3 linked regions of the Oryzias latipes genome follow. The protein of the gene in region 1 interacts with the protein of each later gene in a pairwise test. Links are inferred from orthologs where the notes say so. Each region holds a gene or a part of one and is shown in the gene's direction. Other genes may lie near its edges.

Region 1 (8,316 bases):
TCAAGAAGCGCTGGCCCAGTGTGAACATCATATAATAATAATAATAATAATAATGGATTGGATTTATCTGTGCTTTTCAAGACACTCAAAGTGCTTACAGTGTGTCCATTATTCATTCACTCCTGATTCATACTTGGTGATGGTAGCTACTGATGTAGCCACAGCTGCCCTGGGGCAGACTGACAGAGGCGTGGCTGCCATTTCGCGCCTACGGCCCCTCTGACCATCACCGGGATCATTCATACACATTCACACACCAGTGGAGCCACACTGGAGGCAAGGAGGGTGAAGTGTCTTGCCCAAGGACACAACGACATTTTGGCTGGTGGGAGCGGGGATCGAACCGCCAACCCTTCGGTCATTGGACGACCCGCTCAACCACCTGAGCCACTGTCGCCACTATATGCAAAAAGTGCATCCAAGAACCTGCGTTCAGCGCATTCTTGACCGTGCAACACCTGCCCTGTGTGTACGTAGCTTAAGTGCGATGCCAGAATTCCAGATCAAGTCCTTACGTTGGTTTCTGAGTGCTGGAGGGAGGCGGCTCCTCCTTTTCCTGAAGCATCATCCTGAAACTGTTCACCTTTTCCTCAATCTCTTCTGCTGCATACCTGAATGACCAAACAACAGAGACAAGCCATAGCTACCTTAATATGCAGTTTCAGATCAAACACGTTTTTTCCCAACAAAAATATTCTATTCTAAAATAAAAACAGCAATCCTTCATGAAAAAGGAATATAGTAATGGACAAAAAGTCTGTTTAATGATGTAAAACTTATTGATAAATAATCCTAAAATGGTTTTGTAGTTCTTTACCCTTGCTCCTCCATCATGTCTTGTAGTTCAGCACATTTGACCTCTAGCTGCCTCTTGCGCTGATGCTCCAGGATGTCCGCATTGGGCTGCCGGTTCAGCTGACTCTCCAGCCTCTCCCGGTCCTTCTCATCTCGTTCGCCGCCGCGCTCGTCCCGCGGGCGCTTGACCCGCACACTCGACAGGTTGCGCTGCACATAACCGTTGGTGCCGCTGCCCCGCGGAGTCGTCAGGCCGATGCCATTGTACATGGCTCTGCAGAGGAAAAAAGAGGTGCTGAACCTAACTTTATCCCAAATTTACAAATTCCTGTGAAGGAAAATCTTTCATTCCTAAGTGTTTGCAGAACTGAACTTCCACACACATCTGCGACGACCTGCATACTAATAAAATAAGGGCAGTAAAAGGGATTGTCTCATTTTGCCAATGATGCAAATATATCAACCAATCTATTCCATTTATTATTATCTCCATTAATGTTTTATAACCTGATAAAGTAAACATTGTGGATACACAGAGAAAAAAACGTTATTATCCAGGAAAGAGAAATATTGTATATTTTAGTTTAAACTCAGAATCAGAACATTCAAGGTCTGTTGAAATGCAATGTGGCAGAGCAGCAGATTATTTTAACCCGTTTTAGATTTTCTTCAAACAAATAACATGGGAATACAGTGGATTACGGTTTCCATATCATTATCTGACGCATGTCTCTTTTTAAAATGGCAGACGTGGCGATTCCCTTGTCAAGATCGCTTGGTATTTTTAATCTGTAAAAAAAACTGATTTTAAAAATAAACCATAAAAGAAAAAAAAACAAACCTAAAAGTGTGAAATCAGTGGTGCATCACAAAACGAAACTCTCCCAGCAACAACAATTGGGTAACAATCTGGTGAGCCGAGTTTACCGTACAGGCTCGAATGATAATCAGCCTTCAACACACATAGTAAGGAGTCCGGAGACTCAAGAAAACGTGCGCACTCACTGTTAAGTTGCATTTACGAGGAAAGTGTTGTTTTTTCGACTATAATACACGTGCGCAGACATAGGCCTTTTGCTGTAAGTGACTTTAAAACTTCACTAATGTCATCAGAAATACTACAAAAAATGTATTTCTAGGCTATACTAACGTTTTATGTTTAAATAAATTATCCAAGAAGGCCTGAATAAATTAAACAGGTAGAATTCACGCATTAGCTAGCTAACTAACTAGCATGCTAATATAACAGCTACGTACCAATTTGTAGGTTTCGCTCGATTTTTCTTTCTTTTAAAAGAAAATACCGAACTTATATCAACTTAAACTTTGCGTCTGATACCTTACTCCACTGTCAAATTGGTCGAATTGATCCTCAAAACAACCGTATCCTTAGAACAAAAGCACTCTTAGCACTGTTAGCAACCAGATAGCTCTCAATTCAACCACGGCATAAGTGAGAGGAAGACAAAACTACGTCACACGTTCAACAGTCGTCCAAACCGTGATGCGTTCAAGTGCCGTAAGATAATAGTAGGAACATTGATGTTCATGAGAATTGCGTAGTTTAGTAATGCATTTATTAACTACATTTGCTTATCATTAATTTGTAATAAAGTGAACTGAGCCACAATACTAAACAAAATTCTAAAAGGTATTATTTTTTCCTGATATACTGAAGTAAAGGTTAAACCCATTAGTAATGAATTCATTTAAAAGTTTAGAAGCGTTTCATCAAACCATATTAAAATTGAAAAATAAAATGTGTAACTATCCATTTTTTTCTGAAATATTATTCAGCTAGTGATATTTTTAAAATTGTTTTACAAAATTGTATATTTTACTTTCATCTGTGAGCACTTTTCTGTTGTCTATTTTGAATTTGTTTCTAAAATATTCAGTACGTTAAAGACGATTTTGAATTTTTAACTCAAACCTTTAAAAGGAAACGTGAGTCACTTTTTTAAATTTCCTTATTTCTAACAAACGTGTTTTTTACTATTATTTTTATTTATTTATTTATTTATTTATTTATTTATTTATTTATTTATTTATTTATTTATTTATTTATTTATTGGACATAGCGAAGGGACATTTTTAAATGTATGGATGTGTTTTATTTAATTGCTTTTAAAAAGGACAATTGTCGGTGTGCAGAGAAGCATAGAACTTCATTTCCCAGAATGCAAGTGGTTAAAGTTGACGCAGGTTTTGAGATAAAAACATCCTGTCTTAGCTCGACCGTTAGAGACGCCGAAGCAGCAGGTGGAGTGCAGTCTAATCCCCAGCTCCAGTTTAGCTGTAGAACTTTAAGGGGTTTCACGCCACAAATCTAAAACACCGAAACCACCGTGATGGCTGAAGGCGACAACAAAAGTTCAAACGTAATAGTAAGTGCACAATTTCCCTCCTTTTCTTCATCTCGTGACGTATTTTGGTGGTTTTAGCCTAATGTGTTCAACGTTAGCATGACTCGCAGATGCTAATTTTACTAGCTTTTCGCCGCATAATATTTCCATTAATGTTCATTATTAACTTACAAACTGTTAATAATATTAACTTAAAGTTTTGTTTGTATATGTTGTTAAAATTAGTTGAGCTTTCCACCGCGACTCTTCTTTTTTAACGCTAGTAGCTAACGTTAGCTAGCTATCTAGCATGATTTTTAGCTGGGTTTAGCCTTCATCGATCGAAGATTTTGATTGTTGAATGTTAAAATTGCATAACATAAGCTTTAATTCTTAATAATATAAAACGATATATGATTCTTCTTTTGGTTTTACTAACAGAAATGTTGGCATGTACGTTGGTTATTTCTCAGAGACGCCCCAGTGGGTTTAATTAAAATACTCCCCGCATTATAATCGTTTTGCGGAACATGTCTCGTTGCGGATACTATAGTTTTAAAGCTCCATTATTGCCTAATTTAAGACTTCCGCTTAATTGAGCCACGTCATTTCCCCAACTTTTAGAATAAATTACTCAAACCAAACTGTTGGTTTTTGGGCTTTTGGCTGCAGTGCCAGACCCTCCTAAAAAGAGTTTAGGCCTCATTTCAGTCACAGTGCAGCATTAGACTAATGATTTAAGTGTCACCCTGTGGGTAATAATTTCCAGTGAGTCACAGTTTTGTTATCAGTGACTCTGACTGATAGCTTTTGTTTTAAGGAAGATGTTTTTAGAAAGGGAAAGGCTGACAAGAGACCAAACAAAGAAGGGAGTGTATAGACAAATATTCATTTGTCGTTTTAACTATTTATTCAGGAATGTTCCTGAAAGCTTTCTTCTGTTTTTGATTCATCTGCTGTCAAAATAGAGTAAAAGCAGGAATAAAAAAAAAAGTCATCAAAATAGAAACATTTTTTTTTACTGGGGACTCCAGACTGGTTGGTTGGTACCGGGTTTGCTGAAGCAGTGTTCTGTGTTTAGGCTCAGGAAACTGCACAGCTGGAGGAGCAGCTGCAGGCCTGGGGAGAGGTGATCCTGGCTGGGGATCGTGTTCTGCGATGGGAGAAGCCCTGGTTCCCTGGAGCTCTAGTGGGAGCTACCACCGTGATCTTCTTGTAAGTCGGGTTTACTCTATGCTGGGTTGGGTTTTAGAACATGCCATACCAGAATGGTTTCATCTGGGATTCTTTCATTTTTCTTTCGGATGTCTACTTTTAAAGATCGACGCTTGAATTGTTAATGAGGTGACCTGTAAGGACAAAAGGAGGATATATAGTAATGTCGCTACAGAGAATTTGCTCTGAAAAGTCCAATTTCCATGAAAACTTGAGAAACTCTTCATTTTTATGTTTCATTCTTAGAGTTGAACAACAATTGCTTCTTTCAGGCCTAATTTTGTTGCAACACAAGGTTTTTCTTTGCCTGAGGGAAAGTTTTCGGTTCTCTTTCACTCTGCCTTCAGTTTTTATCAGAGTGCAAATGCAGTTGTGTAAATGTTTTCAGAGTTGAGAGAAGTTGGTAAATGAAAATGTATGTAAGGATTTAAAACTTTTAAAGGTAGTCAGACTCATTGACCCACGATGAGGGAATCTCACCTTCTTGGGATCTTCAGTGCTGTTGCCCAGACTTGCGTAAACTCATGTCGGCACATGGAAAAACTGAGGTTTACGGCTATTACCATGTGTTCTCTCACATCATGCTGCATTAGACACTGAGTTGTTTGTATTTGCCAACGTCTCTCTTTTTAACTTCCCGTGTGCTGCGCTGCGCCTTTTCCTGTAGATTTAGAGCTTTTTGTATCTGAAGTCATATTCAGAAAAAAAAGCTGCAAACTATCAAACATTTCTAGTTGTATAAAATATCACAGCCTGAAGATGCAGACTAGCTTGTTGGGTTTAAAAAGCACTTTGTGTTTTGTTAAAATCACAGTTCAGCTGCTTTCTTAATGTGCTGCATTCCTGTTTAATTCCCCCAGTGTCCACGCCCTTCCTCCATCTGCAGCCCACAGTTGGATGATTGTTTATCAGCCTCGCAATACTTTTTCAGATGTCGTATTCATAACCGCACAGAAACCTCTGTGTGTTGTTGTTTTTTTTTTTCAAGTAGATGTTTGAATGTTTGCTTCCTGTTTCAGGCTGGTGTATTACCTGGACCCGTCAGTGCTGACTGGACTCTCCTGCACAGTCATGCTGCTCTGCTTGGCTGACTACTTGGTTCCCACCCTCGCCCCCCGAGTATTTGGCTCCAATAAGTGGTGAGAGGATCACCCAACCCTGTTTTGATTCTTAGTTTGGCATCAGAGCCGACTTGGTTGACAAAAAAGTCTGAATGGTTTTGTCTTCATGGTGGACTTCTCTTTGTCAGACGTGATGCCTAAACGGAATGTTCATTGAGCTTTGAAATGTCAGAATGAGCTGAGAAGCCAGTTCACTGAAAACCAGACACCATGACGGCAGAGCGACACGCCGCAGGTGGCCAAGGGCGCCCTTCATCCCTCTCTTGGTGTCTTAGGTTTCTGGATATTTAACCCCCCATCAGCTGTCCGTGACCCGCGCTGCTCTACTTAACACAAATAGCAGCAGACGGGCTGGTGGTGTTCAGCAGCTTTTATTTGACTGTCTATTCTGGGTCATCTGAACCTCCAGTATCTGTTCGGATGACGTTTTTCATTTTGCAGCTTCAGCCAGGCTGTCGTTCTGTCTGACCAGCTCGCTGACTTTTGTTGTCCGTTGCTGAGACTGCAGAGGAGTCTGATCAAAACGATGTCCTAAGGTCGATGAATGTGACTGAGCGTGCTCCCGCTCTGAGAACACAGGCAATGACTCGGCAAAGTGGGGGGGCAGTGCTCCAACATGGGGGTTTCAAGAAAGTTTTCCCTTTTTTTAGTGAGGAAATATTAAGGCTGTGAACATGCAGAAACTGCGGTCAGCAGCCATCCATGAAGCAAAGCCGCTTATCAAAGTTTAATAAAACGAGGTCACGCTTTCTCCCACCCCTCACACAGTGTTCTTAACCGTTTGAGTGCAGGACTACTGAGCAGCAGCAACGCTTCCATGAGATTTGCGGAAACCTGGTGAAGAGTCAGAAGAGGGTTGTTGGCTGGTGGAAGCGTCTCTGCGCTCTGAAGGAGGAGAAGCCCAAAATGGTAAATTTAAACGCTGCAAGTGAACAGCAGAGCGTTTGAAACTGCGGCCCAGATTAAAACTTCATCTGACTAGGCTGAGCCGGTCCGCTTGTAACTGGGTTACAAGCAGCAGGAGTCCCAAACTTTAACATAAAGCACTTCCTTTTTGTTTTTGATGAGTTTCTCTCTAAGCTCAGGAAGTTCTCCCCCATTGTTTCATCTTCACAGTACTTTGCCTCAGTGATCAGCAGCCTGCTGGCAGTGGCCTGGATCGGACAGCAGGTGCACAACCTCTTCCTCACCTACCTGACTGGTAAGGTTGTGTCTTTGTTGTGTTGTCGTGACAATGTGCTTACTCTGCAGTTTTTCAGCTACTCGTGACTTTCAGGCTTCCTGCTACTGTAGATCAATCCACAGATCAATGCGGGCTTTTAGAGGCGCACCCTCCTGCTGTTTAAACCTGTGACACATCTGCTGATTCACAGATGTGTCACAGGTGAACCTCTGTCAGCTCCAGCGCTCTGAGACATGTCTAGAAGTCAGAACAAAAGTGGAGAGCAAGTTTCTTCATGATCACTTGTGCTTCATGTCAAGTCAAACTTGTTCCTCCAGCTGCTTTCTTCTTTTTAAAAAAAAAAGTTTTTTTTGCATTCTGTTCTTTGTGAGAAATTGTGTTGTGCAAACGGTTCCAAAAGCTGACGCACCGTATTGATGGCGGTCGCCTCTTCTGCAGTGAGCTTCCTGCTTCTGCTGCCCGGGCTGAACCAGCACGGCATCATCAGCAAGTACGCGGGCATGGCGAAGAGGGAGATCAACAAGCTGCTGAAGCAGAAGGAGAAGAAGAACGAATAGACACGACGAAAGGCGCTGGAACGAAGCGTTGCCGAGGACGACGAGAGGCTCTGTCTGCAAATAAAACGCACTTTTTGTTTTTCACACCTTGGAAAAAATTGGCCGTTTTCACACCTTTAGACCTCGCCACCCTTCAGTTTTAAAGACACCCGTGCATGCAGCCACAGCTTTAGGTTTGTCACCTGTGAACGGCACAGCCCACTCTTTGTTTTTAGGTCAGGTGAGCTTTATTTTAAAGAATCTGCGATACTATGACGCCACTCGTTCTTAGACTTTGACTACTGAAGCAGCTTTTTATCCGCTCTCACAATAATCATGTTTTTTGGGGTGAAGTTTAGATAAAGAGCCAATTCTGAGGTTTCACTGATGTAAGACGATTCAGCTTTAGCGGGACTGAACCCAAAACTGGATTTAAGGCTGAGCTGATCAAGAGTCCAGACTGCTGAACCCACACAAGCTGGACCCTGTGTTTGTTTGGGGGGAGGGGGGTGTACAAAGCTTCTCATGTCTGTCCGTTCTGTTTGTTTTCTCTCATTTTCTTTGTTCATAGTCTTTACAATTTTTGTTGTAACTGGAAATCTCAACTATAATAAAGTTTCATTTTAAGTTAGTCCTGTGCTTGTTTGGTCTTTTTTGAGGGGAGGATGAACTCTGAAACCCTGACTTGTTGACATGTTCAGCCGGTGACACGGCTGACTTATCGGTCAAACAGAGGCAGAAAAGGCCCCTCCCTCATCTGCGTCCACCAACCCCAAAGGTTGGACGAGGACCTTCACAGACTCTACACGTTTCTCTGCATCGTCTGGATTCTTGACCTGCGTGAAGCAGAAGCTGTTTGGGTCCTCGTCAAACTCTGGGTTTTAACCACAGACCATGTGACCCGAGCTTCCTCTTCATTTTTCTGCTGCCGCTGCAGCTTTATGTCTGATTCTGTTTGTCTGCGGGGCTGCAGGAGCAGCACGTTCTCCGTGAACGCTCGGTCTTATACTGCATAAACCCCCACGACACAATTTGGGTTTATTTAGGCGCCATTTAAATCCCACTGCAACCGTCTTTTGAGCTGTTTTCAAAGCTTTCCCAGTGGTCTTCTGATTTTCATT
Region 2 (7,879 bases), on another chromosome or scaffold:
TTCATCCGTACACCACTTCTGACGCAAATCCTACGCAAAGTTTTATATATGAGGCCCCAGAACCCACACCACAGGGACACGGACGCCCCCAGGCTCAGATGTGATGTGGTCCCCGGCTTTAAATGAACATTTTAAACACGAGCATGTGGATTGAACAAGTGCGAGTACATGTAGAATCCAAACTTCTGGGTTTACGAAAACAGTTTTGTTTTTATATTTAGAAAAAAAAAAAAGAATTTGAAACCAAATAGAAAACAAACTCCACTGTGTGTTTACTATACTACAGAAGGAAAACTTCCTATAAAACAACACTCATACTCTGATCCTGGGACATGGAGAGCTTTGACCATGCTCTGCACCAATACTCTCCAAAGCCCTCTGTGTCAGGGTCCTCATCTTCTGTATCTAAAATGAACAGTTGGGCTAAATTTCTATCAAATACACCAGATTCCCTTTTCATCACTATCAGAGTATGTCTCGTTGCCGTGCGGCTCCTCGTGAATAATGCCGGCCTTTGTGAAAGCTTGAAGAACAGTGAAAGCAGACAAGTTAGCTTAAGCATCCACAATCCATTCACAAACTGACGTAACACGCCTGGCGCTGCCTCCCAGTCTTAGTGAAAGACTAAGACTAGGTAAAGGAGGGGAAGATGAAAAGTTTTTCATTGTAATCTGCTTGAAGTTGCGGCGCCACCGTAGTCCTTGCCCTGATGGAAAGATGGCATCGTTTTATAAAACGAAAGCACCAATACTGACCTCCTTGAAAATATTCAATTTTCATTTCCTCTGCAAGCATTACTGTCTTCAGTCATATGGTGACTGTAAAGAGGCTTCCTCCAGCTGGCTTGACTGTTCTCTGATCGTTAATCCATCGCTCGAGTCGGTCTTCCAACCCAGGCCACCTGGCCTTGTTTCTGCCGAAAGTCTTCCTGACTTGTCGGAGTTCGTTTTCCATCTTCAGACATGCAGACATGCTCAAGTTCACGTCAGGTTTAAGTCAAACTCTGTTTTGTTCAAAATAAATTAAACAAAGAATTCCTGTAAGGTCTTCCTGCAGAAAGCAATCTTTTAGAAAAGTGAAAAATGGTCAAAGGTTGAATTTGTTTTTGAGCTCTTTGTGCGACTCGGATGGCGAAGCTGTTAGTTGATGAGTGAAAAGCCCAAAAGTCTCATAAAACACTGCTGGATCCATCTTAACTGAGGCTGAAGCTTTTATCCCATCAGTTACCCAAATAGTTAAAGTCATTGACTTATATGGCTGTCTAATGATCATTCTAAAATTATTAGCAGAGGTGGACATGCGTCTGTTTCTGGAGTTTATTCTGCATTTTTGCATCTAGAAAATGAAGGGAATTTAGCATGCCAACGTGCCTTTAGGCAAAGCTGATCTGGTTTTGTTGTTACCAAACTGCAGCAGCAACCGAAAGAAATGGAATTGTTTTCCCTTTTCACTCCAGGTTAGAGCGTTTTTTAGAAGAGACCACTGCTGAGGAGGCATGAATATTTTTCAATCTAAAAGAAGACGTGTGACGTTAAAACAAACTGAGTGTTTTAGTTCTCATTTGTTAAGCAACAGAAACCAATGCTGTGACTTTTAGGTCTGAAACTGCCCACATCCACAAACACTCAGACTGTGGAGTTTATTTGTCTTCTCCGTTTTTGTCTGCCCATCATCTTAAGAGCTTAGTCTGTCTGATCAAACATCATATTTTTTTCTAACAGTGATGTGCATGGATGCAAAGATCAACTTTGACTCCAACGCAGCATATCGACAGAAAAAGGTCTTTGAGATGAGGGACTGGTCTCAGGAGGACCCCCGAGACCATCAGGCCGCCACAGCTGACCTTAACTACATCGGATTGGATGGAACCATCGGCTGTCTGGGTCAGTTCCATGATCATGAAACCTGAGACTGGTCTTGATCAGCTAGGAGAAAAAGATGAATAATCTTGTTTGTGGGATTTGTTCTCTTTAGTAAACGGGGCAGGTCTGGCCATGGCGACTATGGACATCATCAAGCTGCACGGTGGCACTCCAGCCAACTTCTTAGACGTCGGGGGCGGAGCCACAGCACATCAGGTGACCGAGGCTTTCAAACTCATCACCTCTGACAAGAAGGTAAGACGTGTTGTCTTTGTCTGTGAGTCTTCTTTCTGCTTCTATGTCAAAGGGACTCCTTTTAGAAATTCCAGTTTCTTAGTTTCTCTTCATCATATTTTACAAATGTAAGTACATCTAGAAATCTCTAAAACAGATTTGTAAACATGTTTGTTTTCGGCTGTGGTTTTGCTCTTCAGGTTCAGGCCATCCTGGTCAACATTTTTGGAGGCATCATGAGGTGTGACGTCATTGCCCAGGGTATCATCATGGCCGTGAGAGACCTGGACCTCAAGATCCCCATAGTTGTACGGTTACAGGGTACGGCACACCTGAACAAAGAAAGTGACGAGCTTTGTGCCCCTGATCATGGATATATTGGAGAAGGGAGCTGAGGAATGTTCTCACTCCCTTTTTTGGTTGTGAAATAAAAAAAGGTTCACGGTTCTTTTCAAGCTGCTGATAATAAAAGTTCTTTTGTCTTCAGGCACAAGAGTGGATGATGCCAAAGCTCTGATCGCTTCCAGTCCTTTAAAGATCTTGGCCTGTGATGACTTAGATGAAGCTGCCAAAATGGTACTTAAAACAAGAACACAGACATCTTTTCCATTTTAAGAAGCACTTAAGCACCATGGCATGTGTGTACTTACACTGACATAGCACAGCATGAGTATTTATAATGTCAAAGACCCACTCCAATGAAAATGTTGTCTATAACTTGTTCTTCTGGCATCTCATGATGGAGGAAATATTTGAAGACAATTAACTTAAAAAGTTTTTTACTTGAGTATTTATTCAAATTGTTGTGAATCAGGAGCAGACAAAAAATGTAGTTTGAAAGAGTTTGTAATTTTGACGGGCCACAAGCTCCCTGTTCCACTCCATTCTGATCATCCACTTACAAATAGATCCATGAACGTCTACGTTTTCCATGTCTGAGCTTGGGGGTTGTGGGGGGCTGTAAGCTAGTGGGAGAGAGTGCAAACAGATGGATGATGGGAAGTGGGGACGGGCTTGCTCCACACCAACAGTTTTACCCACAACTCAGAGGTGAATTTCTATTGAACTCCTGCTGCTCTGCAGAAACTATGTCCTAGAAAACAACAGGTTTTTTATTTTGGCTAAAATTGGCATCATAATAATTAAATGATCACTGGGAACACTTTTACAATAGATCAAAAGATGAATGAAGCTGACATGTTTCAGGTGCAACAAAAAATACATCTTTATGTGGTTTCTTCTTGTTAAGTCTGATATCTGTTGTTGCCTTTGATATTCTTTAATGAAGGTGCACTCTTCCTCCTATGTTCTCTCCAGGTTGTAAAACTTTCAGAAATCGTCTCTTTGGCTAAAGAAGCTCAGGTGGACATCACCTTCCAGCTGCCCATCTAAGAACCTGACCACCTCTCTTCCAAACACCGTTCCCCAGATCGCTCTTCTCTGCTCACTAGCAGCAGGACTGAACTCCTTAGAAGACAAATTCACCTTCCTCTTCATCATCTGTTAAGGATTTTCAACATCTTAAACTCAAACAAACACCCTTCTTTATTTATGTTTATAAATTTGTTTCAACCCCTCATCTCCTTCTACATGACGCTCCCACAGGCTGTGTTGCACTTGAGCCGATACGCACAAACATTTCACCTCCTCTTCATCCTTAGAGCAGGACTCGTGATCAGTCTGTTTACTTCTGCACCTATTTGGTTAAAAAACAAAACATTCTCAAAAGTCTAATAAAGAACAACACAGCAGTCGTCTCCTCAGTGTGGTTCTTGAGCGCCGTAATGATTGAAAAACAATAAATGTGTATCAGCAAGGAGATGAAGACGAATATGCTGCAGCCTGTTCCTATGCTTCAGCTGTGAGTTATTTTTCATGTTTCTCAGCAAACAACAGCTGATTTATCAATCTGACTGAAAGGTCTGGAGAAGAGTAATATTTACCACAGCAATGTGAAGGTTCTGTGTGTTATCCTCCTGATTTTACTTATTTAACTGAACACAAGAAAAAAACATATTTTGTATATGTGGCAAACTGAATCCTCTTTAAGTGCTTTCCCAACACGAACCTGGATTTTTATCACTGATCTTGACTTAACGTTGTTTGATCAGAAGTTCAGACTTAGGATCACGAGTCTCGCATTTGAACATTTATCTCCTGACATCCTTTAAAAAGCAAATGTATTTCAACTTGATACTGGAGTCCAGACTAGAAGTCTGTTCTTTCTGACTTCACTTCTGTTTCCACTTCTTAAAGAAAGATCATTGGCTGTTTCTCTTTGCTGTCCTGCCACAGAACAAAAGACTTTTAGCTTTCTATTTGTAGGTTTGAGTCTTGTTAGACGGCCAGACTATAAAGCAGTTCGTCATTTTCTTCTCCTCTTTCTCCTGCTGAGCTTCGAACACAAGCAGACAATGTGAGATGTACGTCACTAATTTTACCATGTAAATAACAAATGTTGTTCTGTACCATATTTATGCACCTCACACAGAGGACAAACCGGTAAGAAAAAGAAATAAATGCTGGGAACACCAGTACTACAGTGTGGAGGCCTTTCTTTCAATGAAGATAAATTTTAACTTTTTTCACATCAATGCTTAATGCTGTGGTCTTGAGATCATCCCATAATTGTGGCTTAGAATGCAAAAATATCACTTTTGGTTTCATAAGGTTAAATAAAAATATACATTTATTACTATTTGGTTCATAAAGTGAAAACAGGGCTGCAAACTTTTCAGAAAAGCTTGGAGTGAGACTCAGACAAATGAAGTCAGTCTTTACGGCAGTAAGTCGTAAAACAAGGCAAGTTTAGTTATGGGAAAGTGTAATTATGAAATAAAGCACCTTTAGGTAAAAAAAAAAGACTTTAAAGAGCAACAAATTATTCACCTTAACATGAGAAACAAAGAAACTAAACTACATACTAAGACCAGACACAAGGCATTTTGAAAAAAATTAAAAACTGTCGCTTGTAGAAATTATTTGTGGCCTTTTTTGATGGTTTGAGAATTTCAGTGGATGGCTCCCACTTGAACCATGGCTTAAGGCCTGCTTTCGTAACCCTTGTGCTATTCTAGGCACTTTAACATTGGGAGTTGGGTCATCTAGACCGACTAGACAGTGCTCTGAACCTTTTTTCTTCAATGATTTGTGGTCTTCGCTGGTGTCCATGGATTACATGAAATCTTTCCACCTTTATCCACCTTTGTCATGGTAGGAATAACACGTCAATGGAAGGGTGGGGTCATCTAAGATAGCACAAGGGTTAAAAAAGGAATCACCTTGTCTGGAGTTCCAAAAGTGGGGGTGGACCGAAACACAATAGTCAGCAATGCTCCAGGGGGTATTCCAGAAAGCAAGAGTAAACTACCCTGACTTTAACCCTGAACTCGCCTGAACTTGCTTACTCTGAGTGCTTAACATGAAATATACCCCCATTTCAGGGAACACAAAGCTGAGGCTATCTACTTCCTTAGCCTCAAACTTACCGTGGGAGCTAGCATAACCTGCTTTCTGGAATACCCCCCAGGTTTTGGATAGTTGTTTGTAAACATCTGTTAGTTATTTAGTTTCGAAGAATTCAGAAAAGGTTTAAGTTTTTCTCACTTGTTATAATGTTCTTTATTTAAAGTTTGAAAGTTATATTCTTTAGTTCATATTATGTGTTTAAAAATGTGTAGATTGTTTTTATTATTACAGAATGCTTTTGAATATTTAAGTTGCAATGTTATATAAAGTTCTTTTTACAAGCTTTATTTATGCTTTGTGGTTGTTTGTGGTATAAACATCCCACAGTTTAGATGAGGTGCTGCAAAACATTCAATAAACTGCTAACAAAGTACGTTAATACATTCTATAACCCTTGTGCTATCTTAGATGACCCCACCTTACATTGACGTGTTCTCCCTACCATGACAAAGGTGGATAAAGGTGGAAAGATTTCATGTAATCCATGGACACCAGTCAGGTTCACAAATCATTGAAGAAAAAAGGTTTAGAGCACTGTCTAGTGGGTCTAGATCAGTGTTTTTCAACCTTTTCTGAGCCACGGCACACTTTAACCTTAAAAAAAAATCCCGCGGCACACCAGCATCCAAAAAGTTTTAAAAAAGGAGAAACTCAGTCTGTATTGATCTACAGCCCCTCCCTCCACAGTCTCACATGCATTTTTGAGATAATTGTTGCAGAAAAAGCTGGAAACTGCAGCTGTTTTTTTCTAAAAGATGCAATAAAAGTTAAGTTAGAAGATTTAAAAACAGTTTGAAGTGTGTTCGTTGGTTTCAAGACGTTTAACAACAGATCTCCTTGTGCGCTGTCACTCTCTCAACCCAATGCATCATGGGAGATGTAGTGCATAAAACGGCCGGCGGAGATCGCTTTTCGGAGCTTCATGGTTTTGTTCACTTGTTCCACGGTCTGATACCGGACTCTGTGGAAAGCTACACCGCTAAAGACGAGCTTTAGCTGCTATTTTTGTTAGAACTGAGCGACTTTACGAGCTAAATCGGGACAAGGAAGTGAAGACTTTAACCACTTCTGATTGGTCAGACTGATGACATGTGATTAAGCTCCCCAACAATGATTGGTGGAGACAGTTAAAGGGACGGGACTTTTCCAAAATACAGCCGGAGCTGCAGCTGAGTCGTGGTAACGTCATTCTTATCAAAATGTCTTTAATAAAATAAAATAAACGCAAAGAAAAAGTATTTTAGGATCTTTTATATTCCTAACTACTCAGTGTTTTATCAGGGCCTGTTTGGATGAACAGAGAGCTGAAATCCTGGAGATGGAAAATGTTGTTAAATCAGCTAATGAGGGCAATTTCTCCACGGCACACTTGACCATCTCCCACGGCACACTAGTGTGCCGCGGCACACTGGTTGAAAAACACTGGTCTAGATGACTCAACTCACAATGGTAAAGTGCCTAGGATAGCACAAGGGCTACTCTATCTTACACAGAAGTCTTTAGGTTACCTGGGAGCTGGGAGTTCAGCTATCCCTCCAATTCTATGGCCGGAATGAGATTTGCATCTCCATGGTTCTCAACTGGAAAAAGGTGGTTAGAGGGCTCCTGCCTCAAGTGGATGAGTTCAAATATCCGAGGACAACAAGGAAGAAGCCTGAGATTGACAGGAGGATAGGTGCAGTGACTGAAATTATATGGTCCTATCCTCACTTGTGTTAATGAGCTTTGGGTTATGGCTTTAAACTCTTAAAACAGAGAGTTAAAAGCAGAACTGTAGACCATAAAAAGTATCCTTGCACAAGATTTAAATGATCTGAATGATCAACAGAGGGGTTCAGCAGTATAACTTCTAAAATATTTACTGGTCCTAAATCATTAACTTATTAAGAGGGAATTAACAAAACATTAAACAGATGTAATCATCTTTTTAATTCCTGCAAGAGCAGCATTTTTATAACCTGCAGTCAGTGCTGTAAAGAACCATGAAGGCCTAATAAAATACATTTTATAGTGCATTGTCTATTCAGTTTAAATCTGCTGCAGAGATTTTACATATAGAGTGGTTGTGAATAAGATCCTTAAGGTTGATAGAGCCACATCTAACCTCATGGTGGCAGTATTATCCTCCGTCTGTGAATTCTGATGTGAGGCACAACAGTGACTTGTGGTGAGGTTGATGGCTGGTGAGACCGACTCCTCTGGAGTCAGATTTTCAATTGCAAGAACTGAATATCTCACCATTCATCCATCCGCAGGTAACAGCATATAAGACACACAAGAAGATATTTGTCCTCCAGAGAATATTTCTTTTAGAA
Region 3 (8,216 bases), on another chromosome or scaffold:
TGCACTAATAGTTTGCATGATTGAATGAATGAAAGATTTCACACTAGTTGGTTTAAAGGCATAGGTATGCGTTCGTGAACACTATCTGTTTTGTGTACATGTTGACATGTGAACATTTTTTGCAGCTAGCAGGTGTGTTGATAACATTTGAGTGTGTGTGGACAGGCCCCGCCCTTTTTGTACCACATTTGAACCATACCGTAATGATAAACAACCAGTAAACCTGTCTGCTTTATGCTGCTTCATGGTCTTACCCCCCCCTCTCACTATCACCCCCCCCCCCCCCCCTCTGACATCCCTCCCTCTTCTTCCCTTCTTTCCTTTTCCGTCCGGTCCAACACCAAAGATTTTCAATCATGGTTGAAATGAATAAAAGTTTGGCCTCAATTACAAAAGGGGTTTGTTCAGTCGCACCTTTGGTTTGTCTGAAGATTAATAACCCCTCTTGTTAAAGTAAAATATGTCCAACACAAGAGGCCCTCAGCTCTCATCTGCCTGCCTAGCTGTTGGACAGGACAAGTTAAAAAAAAAAAAAAAAAAAAAAAAAAAAAAAAAAAGAAGGTAAATACTTATTTTCTGTACCGTTAAATTATTTGAAAATCCTCAAATGAACATTCCTAGATCATTTTTGTACATTCTGTCTTTATTTTTGATAAATATTACATACCTCCCATGTTGAACTTTTTGCCCCTCCATAAATGTATTGTTTTTGCAATGTAGGATGAGTTGTAAATATATTATTACAAATGAAATATGCAGGTAATGCTGCTGGTGACAATTTCCATTTTAGAACTGCAGATTTCTGCGGCAGGAACTTTCCCTGCAGTGATTCCCACGCTTTAAACTTTCTGATGTATGTTAAACCCAACACCACCTATGGATTCAAACAGATCCACTAAAAATATTAAACAGATGGAGCAGCGCTGAAAAGTGTGCAGCTTTTTAAATATGAAAATAAAGGACTCATTCGGAAAGAAAAGGCTAAAAAAAGACAGCATCTCAAACCAAGACTGCAACAAAATGCACATCTTTGAGCACAGTAATGTTTCCATTCTGCACAGATAGTAAAGAAAAGTAATGTTGTGATTTCATGCACCTTCACGGACTTTGCTTCAGTGGTTTCAGCATTCACAGCTTGCATTATTCTACTATCTGACATGTGGGCCATGCTGAGAAACAACTTACAAGCCTGGACAATTTGTAGCAGAAATGGGAGGGATACAAACACACAACTTCAACTACTCACTTTTATCTTTTTAACATCTGAAGATTATATCAAAATATCTACAGAATTAGAACTGGAACTTGATTATATTTCAGAATTGAACAATTCTAATAATTGGATTTGCCGATTTACAAAAACAGTCATACAAATAGTTGGCAAGCATTTGGAGATTATTTTCCAACATAAAATAATATTTAAAAAAAGATTGAAAAAAAACATTTTTATTGTATTTATTTATTATAAGCAACATTAAAATTAAAAGTTCAGATGAACGCTAACAGACGTGTTTTATATCCTTTAACATTATGTTACACCAGACTTTTAAAGATCCACTTTGATGAAAATTGTGTTTTTGTTGATTTTTTAATTTTCTTGTCACATTTATATAACAAAAATAAAGAAAATTAGGCTTAAAATTGGATTTCAGAGTATTTATAAATCAAATCATTGTAAATCAGGAGTGGACTGAAAATGCAGTTTGATGAAGTTTGTAGTTATTTGGAAGCTACATCCGGCAGGCCACAAGCTTCCTGCTCCGCTCCATTCCGATGCATCCACTTGCAGACAAATAGATCCATGAACATCTTTGTTTTCCTCGTCTGAGCTGACATCTGGCTCATAACTGTACGACTGGATAGCTCCAATATTGCCCACCATTTTCGTTGCACCGCTAATGTTAGCTTGGGTGCGTGAGGGGCTGTAATCTAGCGGGAGAGAGTGTAAACAAATGGGTGATGGGAAAGGGGGGGTCGAGTTGCTCCACGCCAACAGTCCCGCCCACAACTCAGAGGTGAATTTCTGATGACCTCCTGCCGCTCTGCAGAAACTATGTCCTAGAAAAGCAACACAGGTTTTTCTTTATTTTGGCTAAATATATAATAATAATAATTATTATTATTACAATTAATATTTTAATTAAAAGACCACTGGGAACACTTTTACAATAGATAAACTGATATTTGGAATTGGACTTAAATAACTTTTCTCATTGATAAATGTCAATTGATTATTCTTAGAAAATGTGATCTAAACTGTAGAGTCATATATATTTTCAGTTTTCATTTCTTTAAAATATAAATAAAGGTTTTTCTAGTCTGTTGACAGTCGCTGTGGCTAAACAACAATGGAAAATGTGCAGAGTGTTGTGGGGCAGTGGAGTCAAATCTGTGCCTGAAGGTTAATTATAGGCAGATGCAAAGATAGACTTGGAAAAGGACCTAATTTATTTATCTTTGTTGCAAATGCCGAGTGGAAAAGCCGGTCAGGAAAGAAGCAGATGTTCTTCAGCACAGAGAGCACAGCTTCTCACTCAAGTCCATTATAAAGACACGTTTTCATCTTATTGGAGTTTTCCGGATGTATCTTTCATTGTGTCAGGCTTTCCTTTTAGCTCCCTTTAGGTGATTCTTGAAGGCCATTAGAGACTGCGGCTCGGCGGGCTGTTGCAGACTAGGAACAGATCTGGCTCGAGTAGAACTGTGATGATTTGTGTGGAGCTGCTCGTTCAAATCTTTATCTCCTCTGCTATCTGACTTTAAAACAGAACTCGGTTCAGTGAAATTTTGGTGACAGATGTTAGAAATGAATTGATTATATAAAAATGGTATCTCAGTTTCTAATAACCTTAATGATAATTCTAACTTGCGCTCTTTGTTTTTTCTTCTTTCTTTTAAATGAACGACATTGTGTTAGGAGGGTTTCAGAAAGGCAATGAAACTGGTTGGGGAGGAGTTCATGGACCGCGTGGATTTCTACAAGTCCTCCTGGCTTCCAGCTCGTGAGGTGGTGGAGGCAGCAGTCAAGGAGAGACATCAGGTAACAGAACTTGGTCCAGATTCTGTTTCTATCGTTTTGGCCAAATGCAGCAGCTGCAGTGACTGACTGGTTGTTCTTCCCGTTGTGTTTGCTTTATTAATGAAGAGTTATTTATGACTTGCCATTTACTCCTCAACACCGATCTGATTGGTGGAAGCTAGTTGCAGATGGACAGTCATTATAATGGCTTTTTTTATTCAGACATTTTTCTGCAAGTGAAAAGGATAATTGGTTGTGCCACCATATTTTATTTTTTATATTCTACGTCGTGCTCTATATTAACCCTGATCTCCATGTTTTTGCAAACAATGATTGAGTTCCATGATTTTGTGCTTGTCCTTTATTGTTTTCAGGTTGATCCCAGTGGGGAGGTGGTACTGTTCTCTCAGGGAGGATGTCCGTGGAAGGAGCATTTATTTGACTTGGAGAATGAGCTCCAGGTGGAGACACAAATCAAGTTTGTCCTTTACCCGGACCAGAACGGACACTGGCGAGTCCAGTGTGTCCCTGCTGATCTCCACTCCTTTCAGAACAGGTACTCCTTTAGTTTTTAGGATTATTTTAAGGCAAGAATCTCAACCACCGTTTGTTTCAAAGTCACTTGAAGGTCAGTCCTGCCCTCACGAGAACAGCTTTTGATCGTTCATGTTAGGGGAACGCCTTGACGGAGTTACAGTTCCAAAGTCAGGCATGCGGAGCTCACAGGAGAGTTGTGACTGTCTTACAGAAAAGGAAATTTTACCACAACAAGCTTCTTTGAAAACACAGCGACAAGCACATCTTTTGGGTTTTCCAGCTGATTTGAGCTCTTGTGACAGAGATGAAACAGGGTACATGATTTAGCTTTCATGCTTGCTCTGGCGTTTGACAGCCGCCCGCAGAGGGTGTACATGTTCTATACTGAGAGAAGATCTCTTAACACAGATAAAAATACTTGTTTGTCATAAGACAGAGACGCTTTTGTCAAGGCAGCGGTTTTGTTCTCACATTGCTCCCACAGGAGCTGAAAAAGATGTAAACACTGTGAGCCACCTGAGTCCCGTTTTACACGCGCACACACACCTGCACGCACACCCACACACACACACACACACACACCCACACACCCACACACCCACACACCCACACACACACCCACACACACACACATACACCTATCACTCAAGTGTTTCTTTGCAGGTTTTTTTCATTATAATGCATATTTATGCATTGTTGACCTTTCTCATGTTTAAAAATGTTTTAATAGCAATATGACTTTAAATAATAGCTGCGTTTCTATTGCAAATATGCGCAAAACTTAATCGAAATTCTAGAAATGCCAAAAGAAAACTGCAATTTCGCAATTACCGGTACTCTGTTTCCATAAAATCATTTATGCGAATAAACACAAACCAACTCGCATTAAGTCATTCAAAAACAGGGATGTGAGCTAAGCTTGGATTTGCAGCATAACGTTTCAAATTTCCGTCTGTGTTTATCTCATGGAAGACACAGAGGATATTTAGAGATCGGATTTTTATATTGTGATTGTCCACACATGTTGATGCCAGGTCTGAAGAGGTTACAGAAAAGAATCCCACAATCTCTAAAAAACAACCAAAACTAATTAATGGTTCCATTGATATGTCATGAATACTCATCATATTTATGCTACAAAATAAAATCATAATTTATTTGTCAGAGTGGAGATGTATAAACTACATCTGATTAAAAATGTTCAATGGTTGTGGAGATACTAAAGCTACAGTCACAACACTTTCCCCACATGACTAATCTTTACTAGTTAATAGTTAACTGTTTTTACTAGTCAATATAGCTGTACTAGTTTTACTTGACTGTCAAAGCTACTTCATAGAAGTGCTCTGTGTAAGTGTTAAACAATAAATGAAGGTTAATAAAAGAAAAATAGGGGAAAAAACCCAGATCTGTTTATTAAATCCATTCATTTTTTAAATGTTTTACAAAAGTCTCGGATTGGGACTCGGAATCGGCAGATACTCAAAATCAAATGACTCTGAATCGGAATCAGGGCCAAAATAAAACCTGATTGGGACATTCCTATAGATTACAGTTACAATGTTTTGTGATTATAAATCTGACAACATTAGAATAACTGTAAAGAGCAGGTCTGTGTACTGTCCCCCATCAAAAAGTCTGTACCTGAGTACAGGTAAGTGGTAAGCTTTAGGCTTTTTTATGCAATAGTATTAGAAAACATTAAGGAAGGTCTATGTTTGTGCCTTTGGGTGTAGCTCAGGTACTTCTAAAGACTGTCAATGAGAATTTGCACTGTAATGTTTTTAGATGATGATCTATGATATAGAAGGAACATTTAGATATTTAAGCCTCTGATGAATAATTTGAACCTAATCTTAAGTTAGCTACAAGTAAAATATTCACAGAGACATCATTTTAGAAGGTGATAATAGGGCTGAAGATAGATGACTCCCTTTGGTCTTGGTTGTAGAATCATTGCAGACGTTTGTCCTGTTTTTAGGACTGCATCATGCTATGGTGGTTTTCTCTAAACAGACATGGAAGCTATGCTCTTAGTATTTTGATTTGGGATCAGGAACCAACACTTTTTCTGTGATATATATTTTTACTACAGGACGTTTTACAAAACGTTATGGTCTAAAAAGGCAGATCCTGGAAAATTGTAAAAACAAAAAGTGTCCTGGACAGAGTTCTGTGAATCTCATTCTTTTAAAAATGTTGCAAGTGTAACAGGTAATGAAACTAAATGTAGGTGTAACTGAAACAGAAAAAGCAAGAACAAAAATTAAACAAAAAACAGGAAATAAGAAGAAATAGAATAAAGAAAGCCTTTCTTTAGGATTTTTAGTCTGCTTATATTTTGACATGAAAATACTTTTCCAAAGTTTTGTAAACAATATATCAAGCATTTAAAAAGGTATGGACAAAATAATTGGACAAAACATGATTTAAAACTTAAAATGTAAATAATTGCAACAAAATAAAATAAAAAATTGGGCAGGGTCCATTTTAAGGTCACATATTTACAATATTATTATCAATATTTATGTAGAAAGTAAAGTAAGAAGTTTCAAAGAAAAAAAACATCCCTAAAATCGAGACTTGTGGAACCCCAAAGGAGCTGTAAAGCAAGTAATGCTCACAAATAGCCAATCGGGTACCGTGTACACCAAATCTCACCAAAGTTATGGCGCCTGGAAAGTAAAATTTTGTGGTGTTTGCAGTAGTTTCAAATTCTTTATTTGAGACACAGATTCTCATCTGCTGATGTTTTTGCTCAACAAATGCTGACTGTTAATTCAGTGAGTCAGTTGCTTTGATTTTACACAAATTCAAACACAACCGGATTGGAAGGAAAAGTTTATTTAGCTGGATCTAATGAGTGTTTAGTGTGCTAGTTTGTCTTTTGTTTGTCTGTCGTCTTCTTTTCATGTATTTAAAGTATTATGTATCTTTCATTAACCAGATGTAAATATTTTAAGTGAGAGAATGTCTGCCTCACACAATCTCTCACACACTGCACAGCAACAGCAGTCAGATAATCTTGATTTCTAATCATGAGCTTCAGCTGCTGTGCTTCATGCTTCTCTTTGAATTCAACTTTTTAGTTGTAGTTCAGGACAGATGCCTCACGTTTGGATCAAAAGGCAAAAATGAAGCGTAATTATAATACCAGTGTGTACCATTTTTACCTGCTTAGCAAGGAAACAAGTTTTTAGTGTTTTCTTAAATTGTAAAAAGCAAAAGGTACACTGATGGTGGCTGGATATAAAGTTCCATGGTATTTGAAATAAAACACTTTCTCGACGGCAGATTTTATCAGCTGTCTTTTCATTAAAGTTAATTCTGTAAAAGCCATAATTAAATTTCATCTATCAGCACTCTGCAGCTGGTGCTGACACTCGGACGAATATTGTTTGGCAGTGAAAAGGCAAAAAGGTTTTGTAACAGCGTAACACAACCACAAGTTGTTTTTCTGTTGTTTCTTTGAGATATTTATTTGACATTTCATTTGTTGTGCTGCTTATCTCATATTTAGGCAAGTCTTTTTACACAAATTTATTTAGGAAAAGCAAAAATAAATGTTGTTTTAGCGGGACAGTGTTGATTTTATGACTTCTTTGTGACTTGGTATCACTTTTAAATGAGCATAGGCACACTTAATGATAGTTTAAAGGTCAGATTAGATTGACAAATATTACCATCACTTTTCATAAACTTTAGATTTGGTTATTTTTTTATTAATATGTCCTACTACATGAATCATTAAAGTTTAAAACATGGATTCCTCTGTTCTCATCTCGCTGATGCTGATCATGTGTAAAACTAGATTCTTTAATATATTTATAATGAAATATTTGCAGGAGGTCAGGGTTAGTCAGTGCTAGACGGAGGGATTAATTGTTCTTCACTCAAAATGAAATTAAACTTTAATATCTACCATCTTTTTGTTATTAATATTAAAATCGGGTGAGCTTTTACTCACATATGTTGGAATATGGGAGTATGTGTTTTTGGAAACAGCGTCGTTTAGGGGATCAATTTAGGACAGACTGAGCAGATGACGATAAATGCTTGTCCTCTTTTTGCTTTTTAATTAAAACTCAAAGTATTTTTTTATTACATTAGAAATTGCTGCTGAAAAAAACTTTTTAACAAATATTTATGAATTTAGGAAGATATTCTCCAGAAAAACAAATCAGTAATGCAACAGCTACATTTTGAAAATCATAAAATGGAAATAATTTAGCAATAATACACTTTGGTGTTTCCTGTCTTCATCAGACATTAAAACCTATTTCGTGTTGGAGAGTCATTCTTTCATTTGTTGAAATGCTAGAACAGAGGAGTTATTCTTGAACTGTCCTTTTACTTGAACCAGAATATGCTTTTAGCTTGGCTATTCACTGGTCTCATTACTGATTAAGGGTTGTTTGAGAGCAGTGGGAGCCTTAGAGGGCATTGTGCCCGTTGACACTGGTAGAACGTGAATTGCCATTCTTTGTCAGTTTCATCAGCAGGTGCTGTGTCTATATTCACCTCTTTTTACGATCTGCCTCTCTGGCTCTCTAACAGTTTTTTTGGTTCTCTGCTTCGTTCCTCATTTACTTCAGTTTTTTTCTCTCCATAGCATAATCGTCTTTCTAGTTTTTGAATTAATTTTTCTCTTTAGTTTCAT

What was found.
Region 2: the proteins of arl6ip1 (region 1) and sucla2 interact in binary tests that used the Homo sapiens proteins (3 or more experiments, as listed by UniProt). The two-hybrid records come from large-scale screens. The link is inferred for Oryzias latipes from reciprocal best matches to the Homo sapiens genes ARL6IP1 and SUCLA2.
Region 3: the proteins of arl6ip1 (region 1) and c5h12orf10 interact in binary tests that used the Homo sapiens proteins (3 or more experiments, as listed by UniProt). The two-hybrid records come from large-scale screens. The link is inferred for Oryzias latipes from reciprocal best matches to the Homo sapiens genes ARL6IP1 and MYG1.

What each region holds. Positions count from the first base shown.
Region 1 is NC_019866.2:2,353,664-2,361,979, reverse strand, and holds arl6ip1 (ADP-ribosylation factor-like protein 6-interacting protein 1), read left to right. Parts: upstream 1-3,019; 5' UTR 3,020-3,146; coding exon 3,147-3,182; intron 3,183-4,221; coding exon 4,222-4,355; intron 4,356-5,374; coding exon 5,375-5,494; intron 5,495-6,267; coding exon 6,268-6,385; intron 6,386-6,592; coding exon 6,593-6,677; intron 6,678-7,097; coding exon 7,098-7,216; 3' UTR 7,217-7,826; downstream 7,827-8,316. Other genes in the region: serine/arginine repetitive matrix protein 2, read right to left, coding at 516-611, 818-1,065. UniProt on the Homo sapiens protein: Positively regulates SLC1A1/EAAC1-mediated glutamate transport by increasing its affinity for glutamate in a PKC activity-dependent manner.
Region 2 is NC_019879.2:13,984,001-13,991,879, reverse strand, and holds the end of sucla2 (succinate--CoA ligase [ADP-forming] subunit beta, mitochondrial), read left to right. Parts: intron 1-1,721; coding exon 1,722-1,883; intron 1,884-1,974; coding exon 1,975-2,117; intron 2,118-2,296; coding exon 2,297-2,417; intron 2,418-2,583; coding exon 2,584-2,672; intron 2,673-3,413; coding exon 3,414-3,488; 3' UTR 3,489-4,633; downstream 4,634-7,879. UniProt on the Homo sapiens protein: ATP-specific succinyl-CoA synthetase functions in the citric acid cycle (TCA), coupling the hydrolysis of succinyl-CoA to the synthesis of ATP and thus represents the only step of substrate-level phosphorylation in the TCA.
Region 3 is NC_019863.2:10,357,378-10,365,593, reverse strand, and holds part of c5h12orf10 (UPF0160 protein MYG1, mitochondrial), read left to right. Parts: intron 1-2,917; coding exon 2,918-3,040; intron 3,041-3,393; coding exon 3,394-3,575; intron 3,576-8,216. UniProt on the Homo sapiens protein: 3'-5' RNA exonuclease which cleaves in situ on specific transcripts in both nucleus and mitochondrion. Involved in regulating spatially segregated organellar RNA processing, acts as a coordinator of nucleo-mitochondrial crosstalk.